Linked DNA regions of Oryzias latipes. The protein of the gene in region 1 purifies or fractionates together with the protein of each later gene. This does not show direct contact. Links are inferred from orthologs where the notes say so. Each region holds a gene or a part of one and is shown in the gene's direction. Other genes may lie near its edges.

Region 1 (7,518 bases):
ATAAAAAATCAATAGTAAGTCAATAATAGTATTAAATGATAACAATAAATCAATAATAAGTCAATAATAATAATAAAAAACAATATATAAATAAGTCAATAACAATAATAATGATGAATCAATAATAATAATAATAAATCAATAGTAAGTCAATAATATTATTAAATGATAACAATAAATCAATGATAGGTCAACAATAATAAATGATAATAATAAGTCATCAATAAGTCCAAAAGTCAAAACAGATTTTCCCCTTTAAAAAGAAACAAAAAACAAAAGAAAAACAATTGATTTAACCCACTGATTCATGTGAGTGATCAGTCTGTGTAACTAAGGCCGCATTTACACTGCATGGTTCAAGTGACCCAATTCCGATTTTTTTCCTCTCATGTGGCACAGATCGGATATGACCGGTGAACGTGCAAGCAGGACAAAAGCGCATGGATTCCGTTTTTCTCAGATCAGATTCAAGCCTCACTCATATGTGGAAATAAATCGGATACGAATCGGATACCTGCATTTGCGTGTGCCATGTAAGCAGACAAATCGGATATTCCCCAGTAAATGCGAGTCGTACGTCAGTGACATCAACTCAGGAGACCACCAACTGAGATCACATGACTTATTAAGGTGCTTTTGTGCACTGATGTTGATGTCAGCGTGTTACCTTTCAGCCTCAGGCTTCAATTCAATTCAATTCAATTTTACTTGTATAGCCCAAAATCACAACAACAGTCGTCTCGATGGGCTTCGAAGTAAAACATGAACTCAAAAGGATCATGAATACAAAGAGTTCAATAGGAAAATACTAAAATGAACTAACAAACTGACTAAGCTATACTGGCATCCCTGCCCTTAGACCCCCCTTCGCGGTAAGGAAAAACTCCCAAAAAAAACGGATTCCGGAAAAAACGAAGAAACCTCAGGGGTGCCCACATGAAGGAGGGATCCTCCCCCAGGACGGACAGGCAATTTACCAGAACTCTTAGAGAAGAATTAACTTATCTAAATCTACAACTACATATATAAAAGTCCAGCAGACGAGCTTCATCCAGCTGTGGTTGGGGGGACAGTCAACGGCACGAGTCGAGCCGTAGACAGGAACCACATGCAGGTGTAGGAGCAGGAGCAGAGACGAGGTACTCGGTCAGGTACAGAGCAGAGACGAGCCAGAGGCAGGATCCACAACCAGGTGTAGGAGCGGGAGCAAAGGCGAGGTAGACGGTCAGGAACTGGAGCACGGATGAGCCAAAGTCGGAAACCGCTGTTATTTGCGGTCGGGACGCAAACGGTAACTAATCAAGCGGGACACAATTGCTCTGGAACTGGCTAGAAGCCGTTTATTTATTTGCTTGTGTTGCGGAGTGTGGGCGTGTATGATGGCGACCGCGCGTGCTGTGTGTGTGGGTGTGTGTGTGTGTTAGGAGAGGAGAGGGGTGTGAGCGCAGAGCGGGAGAGTGTCGGAGAACCGTAATAAAAAGAAGGTGTCTCCCCCAAAAGATTGTTTTGGAGTCTTTCTTAACCCACTCTGTGCAGAATCCGCCTTCGGCCCTGGAGAAAATCTCCCGTGCGTTTCTGACCACGGTCGGAAAAGAGAAGTCATCGCGCAGGAAAGGTTCAACACTTGGATCAAACTGTTAGTACGGCACGTCTGCAAACACTTCCTCATTCAAAATTCAGAGAGAGCCGAGCAGCCCTCCTTTTTCCTCTCCCCTCTGAGCCCCCAAGGCAATGCCTCCTTCATCGCTGAGTTGCCTCCATGACAACCGCAGTCACAAAAGTCCAGAGGAGGTCCGCGGAAGGCGGAAATGCTGCTACGTAGTCCTCAGAACGTCTACGTTTGATAGTCTCAGCATTGTATAGTGTTAATGCAAAAATCGGATACGGGTCACTTTTAAAAGAGGATGTAAGCGGGTTGTCAAAAAAATCGGATATAGTCAGAAAATCGGATATGGGCCTGCAGACCTTTCCACAGCTATAGATGCTATGTTGTAGGGTTTCAAGCGAACAGTTTGGCCTCTTATCAAAATCTGTTTCCCCAAAATCTTTTGAACATATCCAGACTGTATTGCTAGTTGGTACCACAGTGATCCATCTGGGTTAGCTCTTTTTATCGCTAAGGCCCACTTTTTCCTTAAGTCTGAATCCATTGAAACCTGCAAGAAAAGTTCAGTCACTGAGTCAGAAATGTATAAATTTATATAACTATATTAGCCTAGTCCTAGTGTACTGTTTATAGGTTTAACTAAATAAAGTTTACATTTATGTCGACAGCAAATTATCCGTACATCATGCAGCATGTTGATAATAGCCCTGCAGCATCATGCATGTCAACATGTGTTCTATTAATGAAGCCCCTCCAGCAGTAAAAGAAAAAATTATAGTTCTTACCTGTGAAATGTTCTGCCTTCCTCCTTTGTGGACTCAGATTTTGGCAGTTGAAACCCGCACAATGAACTGGCATTTTGCAAAAAATGAGTTCACATGCATGAACTGCAGCAGTGACTTGACCTCACCAAGATGGCAGTGCTCTCCTCCCATGAGGAATCACCTGATGTCTCCTCTAGTGGTATAACTCATTGCCCACAACTGTCCCTAAGAGGCCCCAAAGAGACCCCCACTCGAGATTGGCGCTGAATGCCTGTCGAGTATCTAACCTAAAACTAACTTCACCGCAGTAATGAGTGCTAATGAGTGTTAACTGTACATTTGTAGCATTGTTAAAAAACAAAGGTTGGCTGCAATGCTTGGTTTGCTACTGTATCCATATTTGTTTTGGCGGAGATCGGTTATGCACGTTCTTACTACCTCATTGAAACAAAAATTTACTCTGTTTTTCATTTTTTTTAATGATCTTAACTTAAATGAAATTGTTTTATCGCCGCTCGCTTGTAGAAAAATAGTGTTAAAAACATCAGTAACAAATGACGTTTTATGGGTCCTGTCTCTTTAACAAAGTAGGCGTTCTTAAGGTTCAAACCAACTCATTGGTTCAAACAATCTGTGCGTCACCCCCCCCCCCCCCCCCACACACACACACATTGACGCTTTATGCTCATTGGTCACGTCGCGCACATGCACGCATGAAACCGGTAGCAGGCAGCGCACGTCGTTTACTGCTAAATCAACTAACTTCTACCGTTAACAGGTTAGTTATATGCTTCTAAAACTACTCTTAAAGAACCAAAAACAACCCTCCTCATGAGTTTTTAATTAAAAATATACCTATACTTTTTCGTTATTCATTTATTTTTGGGAGAGACGCTAACGTTTTAGCTAGCTAGCTAGAAAAGCAAGTGATTTTACAAACGTTTTTCTGAGTTGATTGTGTTTTTCGCCTTGTTGGTGTGTGTAATGTTAAAAAAACAGTGTTTCTGTGTTTTTCTTTTATGTTAAAGGAAGGACATAAATCAATGGAGCGTATTTGTTGACCCTCTCTCACTAAGTGTTAAGGACACATGGCCATGGCTAGCAGCGTTAGCGGTCATGATGCAGCTCAATTAAACCGCAGGCTCGGTGTAAACTCACCTATCCAAACCACCTTGGACTTAGATTTTCAATAGTTTGCAGGCGTGTTGACACTGGTGTGCTGGCGCTCGCGGGGAGCAGAGGAAGCCCAGCTGTTTCTGGGGTTAAGAACCAGCCTCTGGACCCCAAGGCAGCTGCTGTGAGAGAGCCAGCAGCTGCTAGTTCAACAAGCATAGGCCTTTATGTCTGCCTGATCCACGTTTCTCACTTTGATTTTAGTTGAAGGCTTGGAGCAAAGCTTGTTTTTTTTTTTTTTGTAAATATATGAACACTTAATATGTTTTTTATATATATATATATATATATATAAATAAATAAATTTCTATTTAATAGTGTCACAATGCCCAGCAAGAAGACTGCCCCAAAGAGGAAGTCTGCAGCTGTTGAAGGTGCTAATGAGCCCAAGAAAGTAAAAGGTAATATTTAAGTTTGCTGTGTATGTCCAATTACAAGGGGTTACTCATAAAAAAATATTTTTTGTGTTGTAAATAATTCACTTTCTGCCAAACTATTTATTGGAAGAGAAATCTAGATAGAAATATTCTTCAACTTTAAACTAGTTAGATAAAATTAATCCCCTGTAGCTACTGAATTCCATGTTTACATTAGATCAGCTTATTTTTGAAGTGTTATTTATTTATTTGCAGTTTCACATGGCAGTCACTGCAACGAGCCGGGCCAAGTTTTGGTCCTAGGCCAGGGTGATGTTGGCCAACTTGGTTTGGGTGAGGACATCATTCAGAGGAAGAAGCCAGCGCTCCTGTCCTTACCTGAGAAAGTATTTCAAGTGACAGCAGGAGGCATGCACACTGTGTGTCTCAGCGAAAGTAGACACGTACGTGAATGACGGCCCGGTTTGCTTTTTTTTCTCAAGTTAAAAAAAATGAATTAGTAGATTTATTCATTTATTTATTTTTAAGGTGTATACTTTTGGCTGTAATGATGAGGGGGCTCTTGGTCGAGACACAACAGAAGAGGGGTCTGAGATGGTTCCAGGAAAGGTGACTCTAGGTGAGAAGGTGGTCCAGGTGTCTGCAGGGGACAGCCACACAGCTGCTCTCACAGAGGATGGATCTGTTTACATCTGGGGCTCCTTCAGGGTTTGTAAACTCCTTCAGTCAATTTCTGGCACTCTGATATGGTTTTTCCTAAAATGTCCAAATACGTGGAATTCATTTTCACCATAATTAGCTGAGGTCTATTATCACTTGTTGACTTGATCTCTTTTTAAATTGGTTAAAGTTTATTTTATTTTATTTAATCTAATCCATACATTTCTCAGACTCTTAATGGGTTTTATTGTATGGCACATGTGTCAAACTCAAGGCCCGCGGGCCAAATGTGGCCCGCCATGTCATTTTGTGGCCCGCGAGAGCAGTTTTTAATTTCTTAAAATAGTTTTTAATTTCTTAAAATTAGGAGGAATCTGACTTGAAGTATTGGATTGGGCAACAATACATTAGTACGGAGCCCGTGTCCTGACATTAAAAAATTAAAATGTCTCGTTCCCACAAATTAATATCTTGGTCGCACGAAATAATATTCCGTTCCCACAAGATAATATTCCGTTCCCTCGAAATAATTAATTCGTGCGAACGCAATTATTATTCACGTCATAAGTCATTCATAAACACAGATATACTCTCCGTCCGGTCGCAAAAGGCACTTTCAGCGGTAAGTTCTGTGTCTCTGTGACCCACATTCGTTCAAGCAAGGAAAAAGAAAAACAAGAATGATCAATTTATAATCGTCTCAATGAATATAAGAAAAATATAAGATTTATGATACCTAGGCTTGCTGCTTTGCCATACGATTCACCGGACCTAGCTCCGTCGCAGAGCTCTTTTGCTTGTCATGCCGGCATTCGGGCAGCTGGCTGGCCGGTAGACAGACATCCAGCTGATATTGTAGTTTAGGGTCGAATATATAGGAATAATAATATTCAGGACTTGTCTTTTATTAACATACTCTTTAGCAGTTGCTTTACATTCGAAGGTTAGTAGGCAACACGCTAACTAACTAGCCGATCATTTATCCTGTTATTTACGTCATAGATTTTCAGCAGAAACCTTCACATTTCTGTCTGTGTGTGTCTTATTACATTGCATTTAAGACACGGAGGATGTTTATAGATCAAATTTATTAAAAGCCGCTTTCTGCCGCTACTTCCGTGTCTCTGTGAGCATTCAATAGGGGTAAAAATAAAAGCAAGGATGAGCAATCTATTATTGTCTCGATGAAAATCAGAAAAATATCCTAAGATTACGCTGGCTGTCAGAGTCATTTCGTTCGCACGAATTAATCATTTCGAGGGAACGAAATATTATCTTGTCGGAACGGAATATTATTTTGTGCGAGCAAGATATTGATCTGTGGGAACGAGACATATTTTAATTTTTTAATGTCAGGACACGGGCTCCGTACATTAGAACTTAAACACTGTCCATAAAACCTAACCTGAGAGGATCAGATTTAAAAGGATTTATGCTAGATTAAAAAGCAAACATGTTTTCTATGCAACTGTAATTGTCACTTTAAAAAGTTATAATAAAGAAATGAGTAATTTAACATTAAGGAGGAGTTGCGTTTATTTTTCATTACATTTAGTTACATGTATAAGTTATGTCTGGCCCTTTGAGGACAACCACTATGCTGATGTGGCCCTCAGTGAAAATGAGTTTGACACCCCTGTTGTATGGTATTGGCTTCTTTCTGCAGTTATTAATTTTTGTGAATTTTCAGCTGTGCTGTTTTTTTAATAGGATAATAATGGTGTAATTGGTCTTCTGGAGCCCATGAAAACATGCCCAGTCCCAGTGAAGATCCCCATCCCAGAACCTGCTGTAAAAATTGCCTCAGGTGAGTAAAACCTCCCGGGAATTTGCTTGAAGTTTTATTTAAAGATTCTAGGCTGATTATGGCCCACAGCGGTCAAGGACTCCAAGGACCATATTGTTTTTGCAACGACTGACAAAAACTATATGGTTTAAAAAACTCAAAGGAAAGGAATAAGCCCCAAAAGACATGACCAGTGTGTAGTAAAACACAAAATACAAAGACACAGTCGGTCCTAACCGCAAAAACTTGTAGATTGTTTCTGCAATACTTATGATTCCGCTTTCTATCTGCGCCTTTGAGCGAAAAATTTGACCCCACCACATACACAAAAAAACTCACCAAAATCTGCACACATTCAAAAAAAAAAAAACTTAGTTTCAGATACAAACGAAAACGCGTCCTAGGGATTTTTATCTATAGTCTCGTAACTTCTCGGCCATCAATGGCAAGCCACTGTGGAAAAATGTCAGAATTGGAGGTTGTAGATTTTGGATGGTTGTACGTGGCAAGTTGCAACTGTTGCGATCTTAGCTAGCTCGCACATTTCTTATTGGGGTGTCGTAAAAATTCAATATGCATTTCCCTGGCCCAAGCTGAATAAAACGATGCAACATTCTAGATGACAATGTTAAAATAGTGGGTGTGGTAAACAAAAAATGTCGCAAAAAATTGTGCTGAATCAGCTAAATAAATTTTCTTTCTAAATGGAAATCTACTTACGAAACCAATATACCTTTGTCTGGGATATCCAATGAAAGAAGTTATGAAATAGTTATGAAATACTTATGGAATGGCGACACACCTATGGTTTGTTGGCCATTTTGTGCCAAAATTGGAGATTTGGCGTAGTGGAGTTTTGTCAACATTTGACCTCGGGAAGAGGCCGCCACCTTTAATTAAAAGCAGTTATGGAAAAGATGTTGCAATTAGAAGTTGTACATTTTTAACGGTGTGCGAGTGGTGAGCTAGCTAAAGTGGCATTCTCTTATTACTCGCACATGTTTAAATGGAAAACTGTGAACATTTAATGCATGTATCCATGACTAGAACTGAACAAATTAATATAACATTGGATACAAACATATAAGTAATGTGGGTGTGGTACCAAAACAAAATGATTGCTATAAAGATAAAACTAACAGAAAAGCCGCC
Region 2 (7,608 bases), on another chromosome or scaffold:
ACAACAGCACAGGAGCCCCCTTTATATTTCCCCAAGCGGAACCCGATGGTCTTATCTTCACCGTCTGCACCCACGGAGATTAGGAACTCACACTTGTTCCTGTATTCCGTCTACAGAAGTCAAGGGATTGATTTGTTAAAGAGCCACTCCAATCATCTTTTGATCTGTTCTAAAAGTGATGGTCTTTTAATTAGGATTTTGCTGCTTTTAACCAAATTCAAAAAACCTGTTGTTTTATAAGACAGTTTCTGCAGAGCGACAGTAGTTCATTAGAAATTCACTTCTGAGTTGTGGGTGGGAATGTTGGCATGGAGTAAGGTCACCCCATTACCATCAACCCTTTGTTTACACTCTCTCCTGCTGGCTTCCAGCCCCTTACGAACCGAAGCTAACGTTACCGGTGCAACAAAAATGACGAGTAATATTGGAGCCATCCAGCTGTAGTTTTGACCCAGATACCAGCTCAGACCACGAAACAAAGACGTACACGGATCTAGTCATGTCCAAATAGATGGATGCATCAGAATGGAGGTCCTGCCGTTGTAGCTTCTACGTCACATCGACAATCTTTTTTGTCTGCGCCTGATTCATAAAGATCTGAATAAAAAATTACTCGGAAATGTCATTTTAATCTGAATTTTCTTTATATATGTCCTCCATCATCCAAAAAAAGCAACAAGATAACGTTATAAACACCAGAAACAGGATTTTCATTGGAGTGGGTCTCTAGGCAGCACAGCGATCACCTTAATGATGGATAAAAATGGCTACCTGTGTGGGGGATGGTCGGATAGCCTCCAGAGGACAACACATTTTGTTATGTTTCACTTTTTGTGCAAACAGCCACGGCAGCATGGCTTTGTTGGTGCTCCCAATTTCTCTAAAACCACAAGGAATAAAAGATGTTGAACGTGAACAGAAGGTTTTGTTGATCAGTATGCTGTTCATCACTCACTTGGCTAACTTCTGCAGAACTCCCACCACCTCCTGCTCTTTCATCTTCAGCTGCTCTTCATAGGTAGAGTTCCACAGAGGAGTCACAACGTTGGCTATCTGAACACTGAGCGGCAGCTCCTCTTCATCGCCCTCTGCTCGTTTGGAGGCCGGCTGTCCAGCCCCGCCCTCTCCTACCTCCTGCTTCCTCTTCTTGAGGATGGGGTCTTCTTTAGGTTTGGCCAAGCGGACACTGAGCACCTGGCCCTTCCACTGCATGCCATGCACCAATTTGTGCGCCTTGTCCCGCTCCTCTTCGTTTTTAAAAGTGACAAAAGCAAAGGTGTGCTTGCCGATCAGCTTGATTTTATGCGGGTTAATGCTATGTTTGGCGAGAAACTTCTTCAGGTCGTTGAAACCTATGAACTTGGGGAGGTTGCGGATCTCCACTTTGTAGATCTCAGAGGTGAAGAGGTCTTCTTTGATGTAGCGGTACTTGTCAGGGTCAGAAGGTCCCTCTGGGTCACCTTCAGCTTTGACGTCAGGGCTGAGAGCATTACTACTGCAGTTCTGGAGATCTTCAGGCCTCTTCTCATTTGAAGATACATCAGCTGCTAAGCTGCCATCGTTATCTGCCATCATTCTGCAATAGAAAAAAAGTAGAAATCCGGTTGCCATAAAAAAAACTCAAATCTTTATTTGACTTTTCAACTAAAATCTTTATATTTAAAGGCAATTTGGTCTTCTAGACATATTTTCAATTAATTAAAAAAGTTATAAATTCGTACGTGTGTAATAGCTTAAGAATAATAGGTTGTTTTTTTGTTTTTTTTACCAACCAATACAGCATACTTTATTGCTAACGTACATAGTTCAGGGAAACACTAAAAAAAACAACCTCTGCAGACTCCTTTTATTTTAAAAATATGATTATATTTGTCCTCGTGCAAAGAAGAAACAAATAAACACCACATTTGTCACAGGTAACTCCGGAATTTACTGAAAATCCACGTTTTCAAGGCTTACCTGCAGGGCTTCCCGTGCGCACAATGCGTCGCCATGTGCTGACGTCACCGCGTACAACGTGAACTTTGAACTTTTTTTTTCTTTTTTTTAAAGTGGCAGGGTCTTTTTCCGATAAAACGTGTAGTTTAAAAACAATCTGTTCATAATTGATCATCCTTTTTATAATCTATTTATTAAGTCGTCGGACAACATTCTACATTCGTAAATGTAAATGTATCACCATATAATATATAATGTTATATATAATATACAATATAATATATAATATAATATACATAATTCCCTAAAGTTCTATATTTCCATTTCAAATCAAATCAAAAAGATTTCTTTCGAAAAAGATGTTTACTCCTTATTATATATTTTTTTCAATTAAAGAACGGCCAGATGTTTTAGATAAATCTTAAATATTTTCGTGTATTTGCCTTACAGGCCTGCCTTGTTTGTGAAACTATTCATGATTTAATATCATTTTGGTTTACCATGTCATAATGAAGAACACTATAGTTGAGGATGGACATTCTTGTCAAATTCCTCTCAAAATCTGCTGGTCCCCCCTTTGTAAATTGTTTAAAACCAATGTGACTAAAGTCATATAATCCTCAATTTCTGTGCTTTGTAGACTTAAAAAAATAAAATAAGTGAATGTTTAAAAGGGTATTTAGTTTTTAAAGGTTTTCCAATGTTTTAATCAATGCATGTTTCAAATACACACAGATAAATCAAAAGTTGCCCACAGACACATTTTAAAAATCAAGAATTTTGCACACACAAATAGGGTGAGACTTATTTCTCTCCATATACTCATTCTTCAACAGGAGCGGTGCGCGCGCCGTAACGATGGATCCACGAGCATGCGCAGAGAATTCAGCGCGCGAAAGCGCTAACAGGAAGTGAGGGTAGCAAAGGGAAACGGCGGCTAGTTTGGGATTTGAATCTCTCAAACTTTTTCCACAATCTGCAAACATCTAAATTAATATGGCAGACACGAAGGTGAGGTATCAATTTAGAGGTTGTTTAGAGTTTTCTCTCTGCTATAAAACCCAAATTTTGGGCGGAATCCTTTTAAATTGTCATTTTAATTCTTAAAATATAGAAGCTGACAATTTATGTTGTTTCCTGATGTTTCGAAATCTATTTGAAGCGTTTTTATCATCATTCTGTAAAGAAGACCATTACCAGTTTACTGTACTTAACTGGTAAATGTATTTTAATTATTTCAGTGATTACAGAGGTAGCTATAGTTTATGAGCTGAGAGTGGTGTTCATGCGGGCAGCGTGTGAACATTAGCTTTTGCAACGCGCTCTAGCAAGAAAAGGCGACGGTATAGCAACTTTTTCACAGCTTTTCTATATGTTTATCATTCACAGCAACATTAAATGAAACCTAAATAATTAAGCGACTCAAGACAACAAGGTTAATCAGCTAACTTGTCTTTGTCTGCACAGCTCAACCCATGCTAACCTTAGTTTGGCTAACGGGTCCTCTCCGTTAGCTTGAAATTAATGTCCAATTATTTTGAGGCCAATTTTTTTGCAGGCGGCAACGCTTTGTGTTAGAGAACGTCAATATTAATATCAGCCCGATTTCTTTTTTAACATCTTAAGGAATTTTTTGTCACCGTGTAGCTACAGTTAAGCAGTTATTTGGCTAGTTTGCTGGATTACGGCCTTTTGAACTGTGACCCCAACTTTTCAAAAACTAAATATCTGTTAATTGACACTTCAGAGGTTTGATGCAATTACGAAAAAAATAGAAGTATTTCGTTTGAATAACGTTTAAACAAATGAGCCGTGTATTTTACTTTTTCACTGCAGTTTTTGTTCCAGATTTTATGCTAACTCAAGGCAGCAACCTTTTTTTGGTGAATATTTATTTTCTCACCTAAAGAAAAGGTCCTTCAAATCCACAACCTTTATTTCCTAGGCAAGAACTATTAACCAAAGACGATCTCTTTCAAACCTTGGTGATATTATTAATTGGTCCTTCAAATTGTTTAATTTAAAAATGCTGTCTTTCCCCCTGTTGAATAAATTACAGTGATGTTTTTCATTGTTTCAAAAGCTAAATTAGTGGATCTGTGTACATTGACATTAAAGGTGCTTATCTCAGCAACGGTTACAAAGCTTTGTCTGGCCTCTCACTCTGCAACAGTTATCCTTAAACAATGAATCCTGGCACCCCCTTCAGTGAAGCTTTCATTGTCTGCTCATTGCACTCGTGTCACATTTTAATAAAATTTCTTCAAAATAGCCTTTTAAAATATCCTCTTTTTTTTGCCTTGTTCATACATGTTTTAGGACCAGGATGATCACGAAACCTCAACAGATAATGTTGACGACTCTAACCATGACCCCCACTTTGAGCCCATTGTGTCTCTTCCTGAGCAAGATGTGAAAACATTAGAAGAGGACGAGGAGGAGCTTTTCAAAATGTAAGCTACTTATGATCCCTTTGATATTTGGAGCTATGCAGGTTTTGCATTTTTCAACTTGTTCCTGGACCATGGACATTTAATTTAGGAAGTCACTGTTTGCATGTATTTAGGGCATGGTTAGGATTAAATATGTGCGGGCAATGTGCATTTTAGCCACACGTAACAGGAATTTCTTTCGGTTTTTGTGCTTATTTGCACGTAAATAATTAAGGTAAGTTTAAAAAAAAAATTTCCTCAGAAACGAGAAAGTGGCTAACAGTCTTTAGGTATGTGGCGTGTAAGTTTAGTTAACTTAATCTGTCACGTTTCTGCTCTTTTGCTTCCAGGCGGGCTAAACTATATCGTTTTGCCTCTGAGAATGATCCTCCAGAGTGGAAGGAGAGGGGGACAGGTGATGTAAAGCTTCTGAAACACAAAGAGAAAGGCACAATCCGCCTTTTAATGAGGAGAGACCGAACTTTAAAGATCTGTGCTAACCATAACAGTAAGTCAACCATCACCTTTTAAGCGTTCCAAATGAGACGATGATTAAAACATGTTCCTGAAATAGATGCACAATAGGAGCTGAGAACAACCTACCCTGGTTTTTTGTGTGTGCCCGTTTTCTTTTGATTATGTACTATTTGGACATGTACTATGTCGTCATCACGAGAAAACGTTTTTTTCCCTTGTGATAACAAAGTCATGAATGACACACAGTCCTTCCAGCCTGCACCTCTTGTGCATCATTTTGTAACCGTGTACACAGCCTGCCCCCCTCATCTGGTCACTGATGTAAATTGACAACAACCGTAGGATCACTGAACTGCAGCCGCCTGCGCAGCTGCAGCCGGGCCAACCTTCTCATCGAATGACAATAACTGATTTGGACATTGTTTGTGACTGAATCTCTGCCCGAGTTGGACCATGATTAAACTGATCAATTATAAATTGATCAGTTTTTCTGTTGTTTGACATTTTTCTAACTTTGTATTGCAGAAAATGAAAAAAGAAAATTTCAAAAATGTATCTTGTGATAACGACGTGTTGTGTTGTAAGGTTGTAAGGTTGTATCTAGGGTTGGGCGATGTCCCCTAATTTGGCCGTTGACGATGTTTGCTGTCAACCATCGGGATGGACGATGACATCGTCGGGGGGGTATTTTTACATTTTTCGTTCTTATATAACTGCTATTCGTTATTTTGCTTTTTTCATTTTATTTCCCAACTAATGGTTAATCCGCGATGATCCAGTATAAACTGAGGGAAGTGACTTTAACAGAAAAAGTAACAAGCAAAATAGAAAAGAAGTGGTCCGCTCCTGCACTTCACTAGTGAAGTGGACCGGCGGAGCGCGGACTTACAGCTTTGTGTTTGAGGGAAGGGGGGGGGGGGGGGGTACATGAGAGGGAGATTTAAGACTGCGATCCGTCCCGCAGCTCTAGGGGTATGAGCTACCGAACTCAGAACCGGGTCTAAACGTGTGTCTGAGCACAGTTCGGATCGTCAGCAGACACACAGCGGTTTGAGCTTCAAAGCAGAAATTTCGCTCAGTCCTTAGAAAACATTCAATCAATCACGTGGATTTGTGTTTCCAGTCGTGTCCCGACTAAATAAAGGCTGATGTTATTCTTACACGTTTACGTGCAGCGCCACCCAAAGCTAATGTTGTTAGCCCGTGTTAGCATACTGCTAATCCTGGCTACGTTCAGAAAAAGCACTGACCACACGGATTAAAATTCAAATGATGAGCGAACAGATGTTTCATAATAACCGTAACATTATTAAAAGCACGTTTAGAAGATCGTCTCGTATTTTACCGAGCTGACATGTCAATGTATATAGCTGCTCGGCGCTGTTATCGTTTTGTATTGAATTGTTACCTTCAATAAAGTTTGGAAAAAAAGCCGCTCGGCGGAAGTTGTATCCTCTTCCGGTTTTCAAACTGCGCATGTGCGAATACTGCGCATGTGCGAATGATTTATTCCGACCGAAATTGTGACCTTAGTGAACGTTTTTATATTCTGAAAACATTTTTCTGGGCCCATGTACACGGTTGGATTCTAATCCAACCATTGATCCCATCAAGATATTTTGTACATGTAACCGCGGCTTATGATGTCGACGCGCAACGTGGCGGGGGCGTGGCATCACGATGGTGGTCTCTCCATCGGGATGTCAGTCACCCATCACGATGGACGATGATATCGTCCATCGGCACAACCCTAGTTGTATCCTTTGCTTCTGTAATGCACGACTGATTCACAGATTTAATTTTATTTTTCTTTGGATTGAATCAGGACTGGTTGGTTAAGTTTTGACTAAACAAAATGAAAATAATTAGAAAGGATTCTGCAAACAGATTTATATTCAGATTGAACAGATTGCTGTTAATGTTTTTTGTGTATTTTTCTTTGTTGACAAGACTGACTTTGACAGCAGTTGTTCAGTCAAGGGTTCATGTTGCTTTCGAGCAGGGTTGTCCAATCCCAGTGCCTAAAGGCAACTATACCTGCTTATTCTGTCTACCTCTGCTTGTCATTGGTGGAATTCACCTGAACGTGATAATACGCTCCATGTGGGGCGGGGATATCTGAACCATGAGCAGGACATCCGCTCTTTAGAACTAAACGGGACGCCTCCCCTACTCCAGAGCCTTGTGCATGATTAGAGATGAAAACTTGGAACACATTTAAGTTTATTTTTTTGCCCATAGTATTCTGCTAAAGAGCTTTCAATGTTTTTATGTTGGGACAATGTTATAAATGTCACTATAAAAACTAGAGTACAGTGCTCATTTTAATCTATCAAATATATTTTCTACAGTAAAGGTTCAGCTTGGAGATATGTGTTGCATTTATAAATGGCAGATCATTAAATAAAGGAATTAGGCTTTTGCATTCAGTTATATCTGTTGTTCTCCTTCCTCTTAGTCGTACCAACGATGGAGCTGAAGCCCAATGCCGGCAGCGACCGAGCATGGGTGTGGAACACACTAGCAGATTACGCAGATGAATGCCCCAAACCAGAACTTCTGGCCATTCGCTTTTTGAATGCAGAAAGTAAGTGGTTTCACACTGAATTCATTCTGAAATGTAAATTTAAAAAACTAATCCTAATACATACATTTCTGTCTACAGACGCACAGAAGTTTAAGGTCAAGTTTGATGAATGCAAGGATGAAGTTCAAAAAAATCTGGAGAAATCAGGTATTAAATTAGATTTCTTGAAATAAA

The links.
Region 2: the proteins of rcc1 (region 1) and ranbp1 purify together in Homo sapiens (affinity purification with mass spectrometry; 3 studies listed by BioGRID and IntAct, counting the BioPlex papers as one, with this or other methods). This does not show direct contact. The link is inferred for Oryzias latipes from reciprocal best matches to the Homo sapiens genes RCC1 and RANBP1.

Annotation. Positions count from the first base shown.
Region 1 is NC_019874.2:68,629-76,146, reverse strand, and holds the start of rcc1 (regulator of chromosome condensation), read left to right. Parts: upstream 1-3,041; 5' UTR 3,042-3,083; coding exon 3,084-3,148; intron 3,149-3,861; coding exon 3,862-3,944; intron 3,945-4,175; coding exon 4,176-4,363; intron 4,364-4,448; coding exon 4,449-4,628; intron 4,629-6,290; coding exon 6,291-6,387; intron 6,388-7,518. UniProt on the Homo sapiens protein: Guanine-nucleotide releasing factor that promotes the exchange of Ran-bound GDP by GTP, and thereby plays an important role in RAN-mediated functions in nuclear import and mitosis.
Region 2 is NC_019867.2:23,296,737-23,304,344, reverse strand, and holds the start of ranbp1 (ran-specific GTPase-activating protein), read left to right. Parts: upstream 1-2,817; 5' UTR 2,818-2,934; coding exon 2,935-2,949; intron 2,950-4,257; coding exon 4,258-4,391; intron 4,392-4,720; coding exon 4,721-4,878; intron 4,879-7,305; coding exon 7,306-7,434; intron 7,435-7,512; coding exon 7,513-7,581; intron 7,582-7,608. Other genes in the region: trmt2a (tRNA (uracil-5-)-methyltransferase homolog A), read right to left, coding at 1-110, 772-880, 956-1,576, 1,960-1,994. UniProt on the Homo sapiens protein: Plays a role in RAN-dependent nucleocytoplasmic transport. Alleviates the TNPO1-dependent inhibition of RAN GTPase activity and mediates the dissociation of RAN from proteins involved in transport into the nucleus.